Cricetulus griseus: one gene and its partners. The main gene of each other region encodes a partner of the protein of the gene in region 3 in a complex. Links are inferred from orthologs where the notes say so. Each region holds a gene or a part of one and is shown on either strand. Other genes may lie near its edges.

Region 1 (4,109 bases), on a different chromosome or scaffold from region 3:
GACATAGTTTCGACTTTTCGGACACCATTTATTTGCTCCTTATCTTAACACCCAGCCTTACTGAGATTTCCTGGGGCCCCTGAGGAAATATCCATTCTTAAGACATCTAAAATTTGGTGGCCTGTATTAAAACGTACTGTTTTTACACCTCACTTGCAATGGCACTCTGAAAAAATTTGTACTAAAGACGTACTAGGTAAGGGTGCAAGAATGATTCCGCAGCGCCATGATATTTTTCAGAGGGGCATTAGAAACTACAAGCCAGCGGACCCCATGTTGAATGACAAGCTGCCTGAAGCTCCCACCCTTGGCTCCAAGATGCCCCACTTACTTGGTCTGCGTAGGTTTGCGATGGTTGGAATTGGAGCAAAAGATGTTGGACTTGCGCGTACTGTCGAGGAATTCGCAAACTGAGTTTTCACGGAGCTCGGCCAGGGGCCGGGCCTCGTGCTTGACGTACCACTGGTGTGCATCGAAGCACTTGCCGCACATGAGTTGCTCACACTCGAAACACCAAAAGTCAGCGGACTCTTTGCAGCGGGTGCACGCTGCCTGCGCATCCACGATCTGCCGGAACACCGCCAGGCGCCGCTGCAAGCTCTCGAAGAACACGTTATCTAGGGCTTCTGCATTAGCGCCGGCCCCAGGCACCTGGCAGATGGGGCACTGCAAGCCCGGCGCTTCCAGGCATCCAGAGCACAGCGTGTGCAGGCAAGGCAGCAGCTTGGGGCACTTGGCTTGGGCCTGGCAGCCCAGGCAGCGCAGAAACTGGAATTCCTCCTTCATGGCTTGCTGGTAAATCAAAGAGGGAAATGAGGCCTACAGAAAGTACAGGAGTCCTGCTCCTCCCCCTCCCCCACTGGTCTCAGGAAGCTGGAAAGGGTAGGACCTCGCATTCCATTCCAGGGAAGTCACTGGGTTATGCTCTGGCGTATCAGCACCCCAGTTCCTCATTTACCCAGGCCTTGCAGCTCTCATTGCACAATTTACCGGGAACCTATCTACTTACCGCTAAACTCACTAATAGGCCCTGAGATACAAGACTGGATACATCTTTGCCTTCAAGGGACTCAGGTCCCTTGGCAAGGGACTCACTAAAGTACCAACCTCATTTAAAGTGCTTATGGTCCTCCAAAAGTTAGACATAGATCTACTACATGATCAGAACTTCCATCTTTCATATATACTCAGAAGAACTGGAGGAAAATTCCAAGCAGATATTTATATACTAACATGCCCAGCAGCACTAACCACAATAGTCACAGCGACCCAAGTGTCAATTAGCACATGAATGCATCAACAAAATGTGTCTGCACATGTAATGGAATATCATCCATCTTTTAAAAGGAATGAAATTTTGATTACATGCAACAACGTGGATGGACCTTGAAGGCATTATAAGTGAAGCACGTTTCCCATAAAGTGAGAAATATTGTGCAATTTCATTTATATTAAGAATAGTTAAGTTCATAGAAACAGGAAGTATAGCTATTGTCTAAAGGGTACAAAGTGCTCAGTATAGTGCCTGGCACATGAGAAATACCCATAAATATTAACTAGTATTGTTAATCCTTAGTTATATAATGCTAATAATTAAAAAGTTATGGCAATGTGACGTTATTTGAGCTTTTGTGAAGGGGATGGGGGAAAAAGAATAAAGACGAAAGGGATAGAAGTAGTTTCTTTGGAGATAAGTATGGCAGGTGGAGGTAAAACTTCCAGAAGAACCAAGAACTAAGCTTCCTTAAGAGAAGTGACAGGAGAAGGGCATTAAAGGGTGCACACCTTTAATCCCAGCACTCAGAAGGTAAAGACAGGTGGTTCTACGCGTTTGAGGCCAGCCTGGTTTACACAGTGAGTTCCAGTCCTGCCAAGACCCTATCTCAAGAAAATGAAACAAAAAACCCTAAACCTCATATACATAAAATAAAGTAAATCTATGAAAATCAGTAAGAGAAATAAGAGAGGCCACCCTGGTTTTAGCTATGACAACACTTTGGTTGAGGCCAAGTTTTACTTGTTTCTTTTATATTGATTTGAAACCGGGTCCTGTTGTGTCGCCTTTGGCAGTCTTGAACACTCTTTGTAGTTGTAGAAAAGGCTGGCCATCCTCCAGCACCTGTATCTCGAGTACTGTTGCTCCTGCCATGTGCTACCACAGCTGCAGGTGAGGGGAGTAAATTATTTTGTCAAGTTTGGGGCATGCCTTTAGCTCCAGGCTAGAGCAAACGGGACTCCTGGCCTGGCCTGGCCTTCTCCCTGGACGTTTTTCATCTGAGGTAGAAGCTAAAGGACAAGGCTCTGCGGGGTAGGAGTGGCCCGTCTCATTACAACCCAACTATCCCCATGGCTTCCCTAACTCAATCTGGTAACTTTTTATTCTATGCTATCCTTCCTACCCCTGCCCACACAGGAGGGTCAGGACCTTGGTGTGTGTCTCTCTAGGACACTAAGTTACCTTCTCTATAAAAACCTTCATTTTCAACTCGCCACCAACGTAAACAAATAAAACCCTAACAGGCTTTCATCTCTTAACCCAGTAGTACCTCCGTGGGGCTCTGGCTGTGTTCATGGTCTTCGGAGGGGTCCTCCCGGGAAGGCATGGTGGGCGTAGAGGTCAGGATGGATTCCTGCTGGAGGCAGGGAGATCCAGAGGATGCGGGCGCCTTCTGCATGGAAACCGGTGCAGTTTCGATTCCTGGATTGGGTCTGTGAGGGCGGGAGGTGAATCCTAGACTTGAGCAACGAAACTCAGCCGCCTCAGCTGTCCAGCGGGGAGATACCCGCCGTGGACCCGCCCCCCGAGAGGAAGTGAGACAGGACTGGGGCGGGTCTAGGGGCGGAGAGGCTGGTTCTGAAGTCACCCTTCGGGAGTTAGAAAAGATTGGGGAGTTTTGGAGCCACCTCTGGTAGAACCAGAGAGGTTAACCAAACAAACAAACAAACGAGCAAGCCCAGCGTGATGGCATAGCTCTGTAAGCAGAAACATCGCGAGTTTGATTGCTCTACGAGAAAAAGATCCTGCCACGCACACAATATGCACTTTGGAAGAGATGCAGAGTTGGCAGAGGCATTTCCCTGTTGCAGATCTCTCTGTGAGCTATTCAGCTCACCGCACAGCTTTGTGCCTCCCTAGTTAAGAACCCCTCTTTGACAGGCTATTTCTTTATTAAGAAATACACCCCACTTTGGGAGAACCCCCAAGTCACCCCAAGTGAAGACTTTGACCCAGTATTTGTATATGTCTGCCTGGAAAGTCATTCCTCAGCTGACAAACGGAACATACGGTAAAATAGGATTCACCGTTGCGGAGACACTTTAAAGAGAGATGAGCACCTGGAAGGGGGTGGAGGTCTGAAACAGGAGAGCCTGTTTGGGAAGTAGTCAGGACCATTTTCAGATTTGAGATGGAGCACCTGAAGAATTGTCCCAGAGAAGAGGAAATTGATCATAAGGCGGGAGATTGGTGAAGGTTTGGTACATGGCTTCAGCTGTGTCTCTCTGATGGCCTTGAGACAGGAGGCTTATGAGAAGTGACTGGGGGTTGCAGAGGAGGACCTGAGTCAGGTGGAAGGACATTGGTGAAAGACAGAACAGGATGGTGCCTTGAGTGACAGTGAGTCTGGTGAATGTGAGGGAGGCAGGGGGAAGCAGTGGAGAGAGCAAGGAGATAGAAAGTTAGCTCTTGACCAGTGAAAAGAAATTCAGAACTCAGCGGGTGAGGGAAAAGGCATACCTGCAGGTAGTCTTATTGGCCAGTGCCTTTGGCTTCCAACTTCATCTTTTCCCAACCACTTTTCTGGCTCCTGTGTACATCCATCCTATGCTGTGTTTCTATATGAAACAGATCAGAAGGGATGGTGACAGGTTCCTGCTTTTGTAAACTTAGACTTGGGGTGAAGGGGTGCTGAAGAGAGACCCAACATCCTAGAGTCTATGAGAGGCCTTGAAAGTGTCCCATACTTCCAGGCTAACCTGTATTCCTTGACCTCTAAAATTAGGCCATCAAGCTAAGAACAATAAAATGCAGTGGGCAGATATTTCTGCCATATTTTGTTAAGAATCTGTACAAATATTTGTGTTTTCTTTCCTCAGTTTCTTTATCATGT
Region 2 (4,209 bases), on a different chromosome or scaffold from region 3:
AAAAGAGAAAGCAGGGTCAGGGGCGTAGCCCACGTAACCTAAAGGACCCCTAGGAGGCATCCCAACAGCTTCCTACCTGGCTTATAGTCATCTGTGAGGTGGCAGCCAAAGTTGTAGATGAGGTCGAGGTGTCGGCGCTCCTGTAACCTGACGCCCACATCCCGGAAGGCATCCTGAGCCATGAGCTGGAGCTGCTGTCGGGGAAGGCCGAGATTGTGCCGGGTGGCCGCCCTCTCCACAGCCCTCAGCACGTCACCATAGTCAGGAAAGGCATCAGGCCCTGGCTTGTTGATGAGCCGCTCAATGCGCCTGTTGACCTCTGGGTAGCGCGTGCCACGGTAGGGGATTCTTTGCTCTATGACCCGGCCAGTCAGGGAGGAGCAGTCCTTCAACTCACACAGCCGCCCAAAGAGGTGGATCAGTTTCCGCTTCAGACGGGCCTCCTGCAGATACGTGGAGTCAGGGTCGTCCAGCTCCGAGAGATCCAACTCCTTCTCCTGCAGCCGCCGTATCTCTGCCACATACAGCGCCAGCAGCTGCTCCAAGCGCTGGATCTGCCTCCTCGAACCACGGGTCCTTGAGGCCTTGGAGGCAGTGTTCTCAGCATTTGTAAGTTCAGAGGAGGACTCTGTGGGAGGGTTATCACCAGAGGGCTTACTGGGTGTGGAGGGTGCAGGAGCCAAGTTCAGCTTCTTCTTATTTGAATGGGCTTTAAGAACAGTGCAGAGCTCATTAATGTAGACATACAGCTTAGCTGGCCGGTTCCGAGCCCGAGACAGAACCCGGGACATGATGTTGCAAAACTCTGCAGAGGCCAGAAACAGAGACTGGGCACGCTGCTGCTGTTTGTGGAGGAATGGAACCACCTCAGGGTGGTCGGATGTCTGTACCTTACACAGTTCGAGGAACTGAAGAGTTCGTGGAAAGGGTGGGAGACAGGAAGGCATTTAAAAAAAAAAATGGAATTAGTGGGAAAATCAGAACAAGAGAGCCAATCCCCCTTTCCTTCCATCTTCCCTGTCAGGTCATAGTGGTTCACACCTTTTATCCCAGCTCTCAGGAGGCAGAGGCAAGTGGAACTCTGTGGGTTCAAGGCCAGCCTCATCTAGACAGTTCCAGGCAGGCAGGGTGACACAGTGAGACCCTGTCTCAAAAACAAAAGGCGCCTTCTCTGAAGCTTACCTCTTCAAACAGCCTCTCGTTCTCCAACTTGTAGCACTTCCTGCCACCTGAGTTACGGCTTCTTCCATTCCCATGGGACTCAGAGGGACCAGAGGCTTCTGGCCCTGGTGAGACAGGACTGGAGGGGAGCTGTGAGGGCCCCGCTTGAGCAGCTGCTTCATCTTCATCGTCGTCATCCAGCACAATGATGCTGTCAGCGGAGGCCATGGGGGATCAAATCCCCCTAAGGGAGGAAGTGTTGGAAAAGTCAGAATTCTAGAACAAGGGGACCACAGGAAGAGCCCCTCCTGCAGAGCCCCACCCCAGCAGGGACCCTCAGTCCTGCCCTAACCCTCTTCAAAGCCCGTCTTCAACAACTACCAGTTTCAAGCAGTTCTGGGGAGCAAACCTCCGGATCATCTTAAATCCCCACCCTGAACTCCACCCCTCCGTCAATTTCCGGTCTGTCAGTTTTGTTTTCCCCTCTGTGTCAGCTGGGAAGTTTCTTCTTATCCCAGGACAACGTCCACACTGGCCTCTTGAGTTCCCCTGACCCTGTCTACAAAACCCAACACCCTGTCGGTTCCACCGTCTCCCTCAAACACCACAATGGAAGCGCTTCGAGCTTTTCCCTTTTTCTGTTTTTCAAGGCAGGGTTTCCCTGTGTAACAGCCCTGGCTATGCTGGCACTCGCTCTGTAGACCAGGCTGGCCTCGAACTCAAGAGCTCTGCCGCCCGAGCGCTAGGATTAGAAGGCTTGAGCCACCACCCTAAGTCCAACTCATTGACTCCAGCTGAAGCCCGTCCCCTCCTCCAGTCCCCTCCGCGTTCCACCTCCCACCGGGTTTCCTCAACCCGGGACCTGAGGGCTGGAGACCTTCACCCCGAGTCCCCGCCCTCTCACCGCACCCCGGCTCGCCCCGCAATTCTCCGCGGCCGTAACCGACAGCGAGCCCCCCGCCGAGCACGCCTGGCACCCGGGCTCCCGCCCCATCCGCGCCGGTCCCGGCTCAGCTTCCCGCCAAGGAGCCCCTCCCCCCGTTGACCAGGCCGCCTCACTCCCCTCGACTGCCAGCAAGGCAGCCCGCGGCCCCCAGGCCCCGCCGGCCCCTCGCTCTCGCCACGCCGGCCCCACCGCCACCGCCACCGCCTCCGCCTCCGCCACCGCCACTGCCACCGCCACCCCGAAACGCGCACGAGGGCCCGGCCCCCACCTCTGAAACGGTCTCTCGAGGCCGTCCTCACCGCGGATCAAAGAACCTCGCATGGTTCCCTCCGCCTTCCCTTCCCCGCAGGCCCCACGACGGACCGGAAGCCGCGGAGCTTCCGCCCACCACACCTGGGGGCGGCCATGTTGCTGTACGGAACGCGGTCCGCCCCACGAGCCGGAAGTGCCGCGTGACCAACCCACCCAGGACGCGGCTCGCGGCGCCCGAGGGGGCGGGGCCCGGGGAGGCGGGGCGGAGCCCGGGGAGGTGGGGCGCGCCATGTTGCGGTACGGACCTTCCTCGGGGAAGGCGTGGGGCTCTTCGCACCCGGAGCGGCCCGAAGCCACTCGGCCAGTCAGGAACTCCGTGCCTCGGGCCTCCCCGACGCCGTCTGGGCGAGCCCCGGCTCCTGCGAGGGGAAGGGACCCGGCCCCGCCCCCGGCCCCGGCCCCGCCCCCGCGGGGCACCTACGGAGCGGGCTCCAGGGAACGACAAAGTGAAAGCGGGTGTCCCTGCCCCGGGTTGCGGGGCAGCCTGACGCTCCCTCCTCGCGAGTCTCGGCCGCGAGCACTCCTGGCGGCCCACGCTCGCCCGCGCTCGCCCTACCCGCCCCGGGCGCTCACACGCGTGCACACCAACGAGCTCAGCCAGCTGCACAAGTGAGGAACTGTTCGCAGGCCGCCGCTGGCAGCGCCGGGACGCGAAGGGAGGCTCCTCCTCCCGGAGAGCTGCGGAGAAAAGGGGCCGGCAGGTGAGGCCCGCAGGGGTGCCCGTGGGGAAGCCGGGTCGGTGAGCACCCTGCCGCACCCCGCCTCCTGTCCGGTGCCCCAACTAGCTTACGGCATTTAAATGGGGAAAGGAAGTTCTTCAATGGTTAATCATTGATTATCATCTGAAGATGATGAATATAATTTCCTTATCCGTGGGTTTCTCAGAATGGGTTTTCCTGAGTGGATGCCTGAAATGAAGATTCCCTATCTTCTTTTTTTTTTTTTTTAATGATTTTTTTTAGGTACGAGTGCACTGTCCACATGTATGCCTGCAGGCCAGAAGAGGGCATCAGATCCTATTACAAGTGGTTGTGAGCCACCATGTGGGTGCTGGGAATTGAACTCAGGTCCTCTGGAAGACCAGCCAGTGCTCTTAACCTCTGAGCCATCTCTCCAGCCCCAAAGATTCCCTATTTTTCCACAATTATTTATTTTCTCGTGTGTGTGTGTGTGTGTGTGTGTGTGTGTGTGTGTCCCTGTAAGTCTCTGTGCACAATGTGAGTGCCTGGGAAAGTGAGAAGGGGGACCCTGCCTTTACATAGTGAAGCAGTCATCTGTAGCCCCAGTCCCCGGGCATCCAGTAGGGCGAGCTCATAATGACCATGCATGTATGCAGGCAAAACACCCATACAAAGTCAAATAGATAGACTTTTAAACAGCAGTTACACGAGCTGACAGCAAGTCCTAGGCTCTGAGAGAACTTGGAAGACTAGGAGGTTGAAAGAATAAATGTAAGAGCTGGAAGATGGAGAAAAGTGCTGAGTGGGGGTGGGGGCTTCCATGGGAGCCAGAGGGGGGTGGGGGAGTGACAATAGAGGTGACAATGACCAGAATACATTATATAATGAATACACATAAACATGAGCTTTACGCTGTCTGGTCACTTCTGTTCTTGCAATAATTCCAATTACTCAGAAGAACTTTGTCTTACGTGTGCGGGTGTTTTGCCAGCATGTATGCATCTACACCCTGTGTGTCTGATGGCCACGAAGGCCAGAAGAGTGCAACTGACCCCTGGGACAGGCGTTGTGAGCCTCATGCTGAGAGCAATAGGAAGAAGGTTTTAAGGT
Region 3 (4,152 bases):
AGTTTGAGGCCAGCCTGGTCTGCAGAGCAAGTTCCAGGACAATCAGGGCTACACATAGAAACTCTGTCTTAGAAAACAAAATAAATAACCCCTAAAATGTTAGCATACTTTTTCTTCAAGTCAAAATTTCTAAAAGTAGCACTATTTCACACTCTTGCATATTGCTTTACTGTGTAGCTCAATTAAAAAGACTTGTTTTGGGCCAGGTGGTGGTGGCACTTGGGAGGCAGAAGCAGGCAAAGTGAATTCCAGGACAGGCTCCAAAGCTACAAAGAAATCTTGTCTTGAAAACAAAACAAAACAAAACAAAAGTTTGTCAGGTATTGTGATGCACATCTTTCACTCCAGCACTCAGAGGACAGAAGCAAGCAGACCTCTGTGAGTTCCAGGCCAGCCTGAACTACAGAATGAGTTCCAGGGCAGCCAAGGTTACATAGTAAGACCCTATCTCAAAAACAAAAGAAAATCCCAGCACTTGGGAGGCAGAGGCCAGCCTGGTCTACAGAGCAGAGTTCCAGAACAACCTCCAAAGCAATACAGAGAAACCCTGGGGGGGGGGGGGGGGAACAACACGGGACAAAAAAAAAAATAAACAAATCACACATGGACTAGCCAGGTATGGCATAACTCTAATCCTCCCTACTCTGCAACGATAAGTGAGGGAGGAGTATTTATTCCGAGTTCAAAGACACCTTGTGCTACAGAATGAAGTTCAAGAACAACCTAGGCAACATAGTGAGACTAAGTATAAGAGATTCGGATCTAGCTCAGTGGTATAGTGCTTGTCTGGCATGTACACATGTGAGCCCTAAGTTCAGTGCCCAGTAACAAGTACTACACCCTAGTGTGGCTTCACAGATCCCCTGAAAACAGCCTGTGTCCTAGGTTCTCTTTTCCTTTCTCCATAATCTTTTTTTTTTTTTAATAGTTTTTCAAGACAGGGTTTCTCTGTGTAGCTTTAGAGCCTTTCTCCATATTCTTAAATGATGTGAGTTCAAACTAGAGCAAAAATAATTTTAAAATTTCTAACTGTATGTTGCCCTTCATCAGGCTGACATGCCTTCTAGTTCCTTCTAAAATAAAAGACTGATGAAACTAAGCATTTACAGCTCATCTTTCCTCCCTTACTCGGAACTATCTGGAGAGATATTCATAAACGAATTTCTATCCAGATTAAACAGAATTAATCCAGATTATTTATAAACAAATCTACCCCACAATTAATCTACATTATGGATAGGCTACAAAAATAGAACCATATTATCCAGGTGGTGGGGAAGCATGCCTTTGATCCCAGCACTCAGGAAGCAAAGGCTGGGAATCTCTGAGTTTGAGGCCAGCCTGGTCTACAGAGCAGTTCCAGGTTAGCCAAGGCTACACAGAGAATCCTGTATCGAAAAACAATTAAATAAATAAATAAATAAATAAATAAGATTAAATTAAAAGAAAACAGTTCAACTACACTGTGGTGCTGAATGAAAAGTTTACTGAATAATTATCATTATAGACAAACGTCAAAAAAAATTTGAAAATTCAGTCCTCTAAGCAAACAAAAGGAAAAACAGATAAAAATCCTATGTATTAAAACTAGCCACAAACGTGGTAAACAAAAATGGGATGAAGGAAATTAAGGTGGCAGTATTCCTAATTTGAATGCCAATACCATGCAAATTCTTAACATTAATACGGAGACACAGCATTTTACTATTAATTGGCAGCTTTCTGTAAACATTCTGCAGCTGTAAATATTCAGTTTTTCTATTTTCCTCAAAAATATCACCTGGAAGAGGGTGATATGGAGGTGCATATAACCAAGATACGTCGTTTACGTGTATAAAATTGACTATGTTAAAAAAAAGTGCCATTTTTGAAAATGTAACAATCATAAGCAGGCTAATGCCCAGATGAAATAAATGGCTTGTTGGTGGTGGTACTCTAACCTAGTTTCGTTTGTTTCTCGGTTATTCTGAACTCTCCTACAACTAGAGAGTTGATGGACCAATCCCGAGTAAGAAATGGAAAGTACAGAAAAAGAGCCGACCGATCCGCACCCCCCAGATGGAAAAAAAAAAAAAAAAAAAAGACGCAGAAGGGAGCAGAGGCGGACAGGCCCTCCCGGCAAACACAACGGAAAGCAGCGTCTTCTGGGTCCCAGGAACCTCAGGCCAGGCTTCCTCTCCGCCCCCCACTCCGAGACCAAGAACCCAAAGTGGAGTGGAGCAGCTTTTCGGGGCTACCTACCCTCCCAGTCAGGGATTCCCTCCCGTTACATAACTAGGCCTGGGGCCCTGTTTCTGCCATCGGTCCTCTGAAGGGAAACGGTCGATTTCTCTTAGGTTGCTCTCGGGGACAGAGGAGCGGGCCTGGGCCCCCGGCGGACCCGCGAGAAACCTGGGAGCCGTCGAGAGAGCCGCGGCGCGGGGCAGCGGGAGGGGGGCGCGGGGAAGGCGGCGGAGGGCGGGTGTTCCCCGGAGCCCCGCGGTCCCGGGCGGCTGGGCCCGACTCGGCCGGGCGCTCCGCGTCCCTCGCGGCCCCCTCCCCAGCAGCAGCCCCCTCCCCCAGCTGCGTCCCCTCCCCCGCGCCGCGGTCCCCGGGCCCAGCCAGCGGCCGACAGCTCTGAGCCCCGATGCCCTGGCCCAGTACCTGGTCAGACATGGTGATGGTGGCTTCGCCCGGGGGTCTCCGCACCACAGCGGCCTCCGGCAGGCAGAACCTCACTCTGAGGTTTACAAATCTGTCTCTTCCCCACAGCACAACACCGCGGCTGCAGGGACTTCCGCTACGTATTGCGTCACTTCCGCTGCGCGCAAAGGAGACTTTGGGAAGACGGGAAAAGGAGGCGGGAAAACGCCTTGGGGAAAGGCCTTGGGGCGTCTGACCTGTAAAATTGCTTGCCCGGAGCAAGAGAACGACTGTGTGTTCTGCCGCTGGGAGACCCGGCCGGCTGCCTCAGCCCCCTAGGGAGACCAGGGCATCGCCACCAGGCTGAATGTTTGGGGTCAAACCGACATCCTAGACTCCTCCCTCTCGGACACCTTGCGCGCTTCTCCGAGCTAAACCAAGTTCTTTTGTCTGCTCCCAACCTTACTAACCGTCCCTAAATATAGGGAATCGCCGGTATAATATTTTTATTACCTTCTCTTGTTTGCTGCCAGCACACTCATGACCTTGATTTAGGACCACAACGAAAAGACGACCCCTTAGAACACATATTTTTTGTTTTTATTTTTGTTTTTTGAGCAACCCTGGCCGCTCTAGAACTATGTAGATCAGCCTGGCCTCGAACTCACATAGAGTCTCCTACCTCTGCCCCCAGCTCTAGGACAGTTTTAAGAGCTGTAGATGACTAAAATGTTGAAAGTTTTTAAGTTTGAAGTTATAGGCAGAAGGAGCTACCTCCAACCTATTAACTATTTGCCTTTCGTCACAGAAAGACCTAAAATTCTTTGACTACCACGACCTTCTTGCACAGGCATTAAGTGTGGATTACGGATATATAAGTAAAAAGAGTAAAATTGAAAAAATAATTGTTGTGTGTGTTTTTCCGATACAGAGTTTCTCTGTGTAGCTTTGGAGCCTGTCCTGGAACTCTGTAGACTATTCTAGACTCTGCTGCGTTAGAGGCATGTGCCACCACGCCCCCCAACCCCCGGCAAAAATGAAAATTCTAAATAAATCAATAACCTTTCACAGTATAAGACGTTAGTAAAAGAATCTTTTCGGACTGGAGAGATGGCTCAGAGGTTAAGAGCACTGACTGCTCTTCCAGAAGTCCTGAGTTCAATTCCCAGCAACCACATGGTGGCTCACCATCCCTTATGAGATCTGGTGCCCTCTTCTGGTGTGCAGATATACATGGAAGCAGAATGTTGTATACATAATAAATAAAATCTATTAAAAAAAAAAGAATCTTTTCTTAGGGGCTGGAGAGATGGCTCAGGGTTTAAGAGCACTGACTGTTCTTCCAGAGGTTCTGAGTTCAATTCCCAGCAACCACATGGTGGCTCATAACCATCTGTATTGTGATATGGTGCCCTCTTCTGGCATGCACTGTATACATGATAAATAAATAAATCTTTTAAAAAATCTAGGAAGTCTTTATTTAAAAAAAAAAAAAGAATCTTTTCTATAGTTAGTAATGAGGCGACTAGA

The links.
Region 1: the proteins of Sumo1 (region 3) and Pml are in contact, whole or in part, in a crystal structure (PDB 8DJI), measured with the Homo sapiens proteins. The link is inferred for Cricetulus griseus from reciprocal best matches to the Homo sapiens genes SUMO1 and PML. Residues at the interface, in NP_001005781.1 of Homo sapiens: Gly19, Glu20, Tyr21, Ile22, Lys23, Ser32, Glu33, Ile34, His35, Phe36, Lys37, Val38, Lys39, Thr42, Lys46, Leu47, Ser50, Arg54, Glu84; in NP_150241.2 of Homo sapiens: Glu554, Arg555, Val556, Val557, Val558, Ile559, Ser560, Ser570, Ser571, Ser572, Arg573.
Region 2: the proteins of Sumo1 (region 3) and Daxx are in contact, whole or in part, in an NMR structure (PDB 2KQS), measured with the Homo sapiens proteins. The link is inferred for Cricetulus griseus from reciprocal best matches to the Homo sapiens genes SUMO1 and DAXX. Residues at the interface, in NP_001005781.1 of Homo sapiens: Lys17, Glu18, Tyr21, Ser32, Ile34, Phe36, Lys37, Val38, Lys39, Thr41, Thr42, His43, Lys46, Leu47, Ser50, Tyr51, Arg54, Gln55; in NP_001135441.1 of Homo sapiens: Glu731, Glu732, Ile733, Ile734, Val735, Leu736, Asp738, Ser739, Asp740.

What each region holds. Positions count from the first base shown.
Region 1 is NC_048597.1:169,852,343-169,856,451, forward strand, and holds the start of Pml (protein PML), read right to left. Parts: upstream 2,801-4,109; 5' UTR 2,676-2,800; coding exon 2,547-2,675; intron 793-2,546; coding exon 332-792; intron 1-331.
Region 2 is NW_023276806.1:232,098,472-232,102,680, forward strand, and holds the start of Daxx (death domain-associated protein 6), read right to left. Parts: upstream 2,801-4,209; 5' UTR 2,665-2,800; intron 2,531-2,664; exon of another isoform or gene 2,376-2,530; intron 1,406-2,375; 5' UTR 1,390-1,405; coding exon 1,183-1,389; exon of another isoform or gene 1,042-1,182; intron 909-1,041; coding exon 77-908; intron 1-76. UniProt on the Homo sapiens protein: Transcription corepressor known to repress transcriptional potential of several sumoylated transcription factors. Down-regulates basal and activated transcription.
Region 3 is NC_048595.1:413,930,895-413,935,046, forward strand, and holds the start of Sumo1 (small ubiquitin-related modifier 1), read right to left. Parts: upstream 2,801-4,152; 5' UTR 2,656-2,800; coding exon 2,644-2,655; intron 1-2,643. UniProt on the Homo sapiens protein: Ubiquitin-like protein that can be covalently attached to proteins as a monomer or a lysine-linked polymer.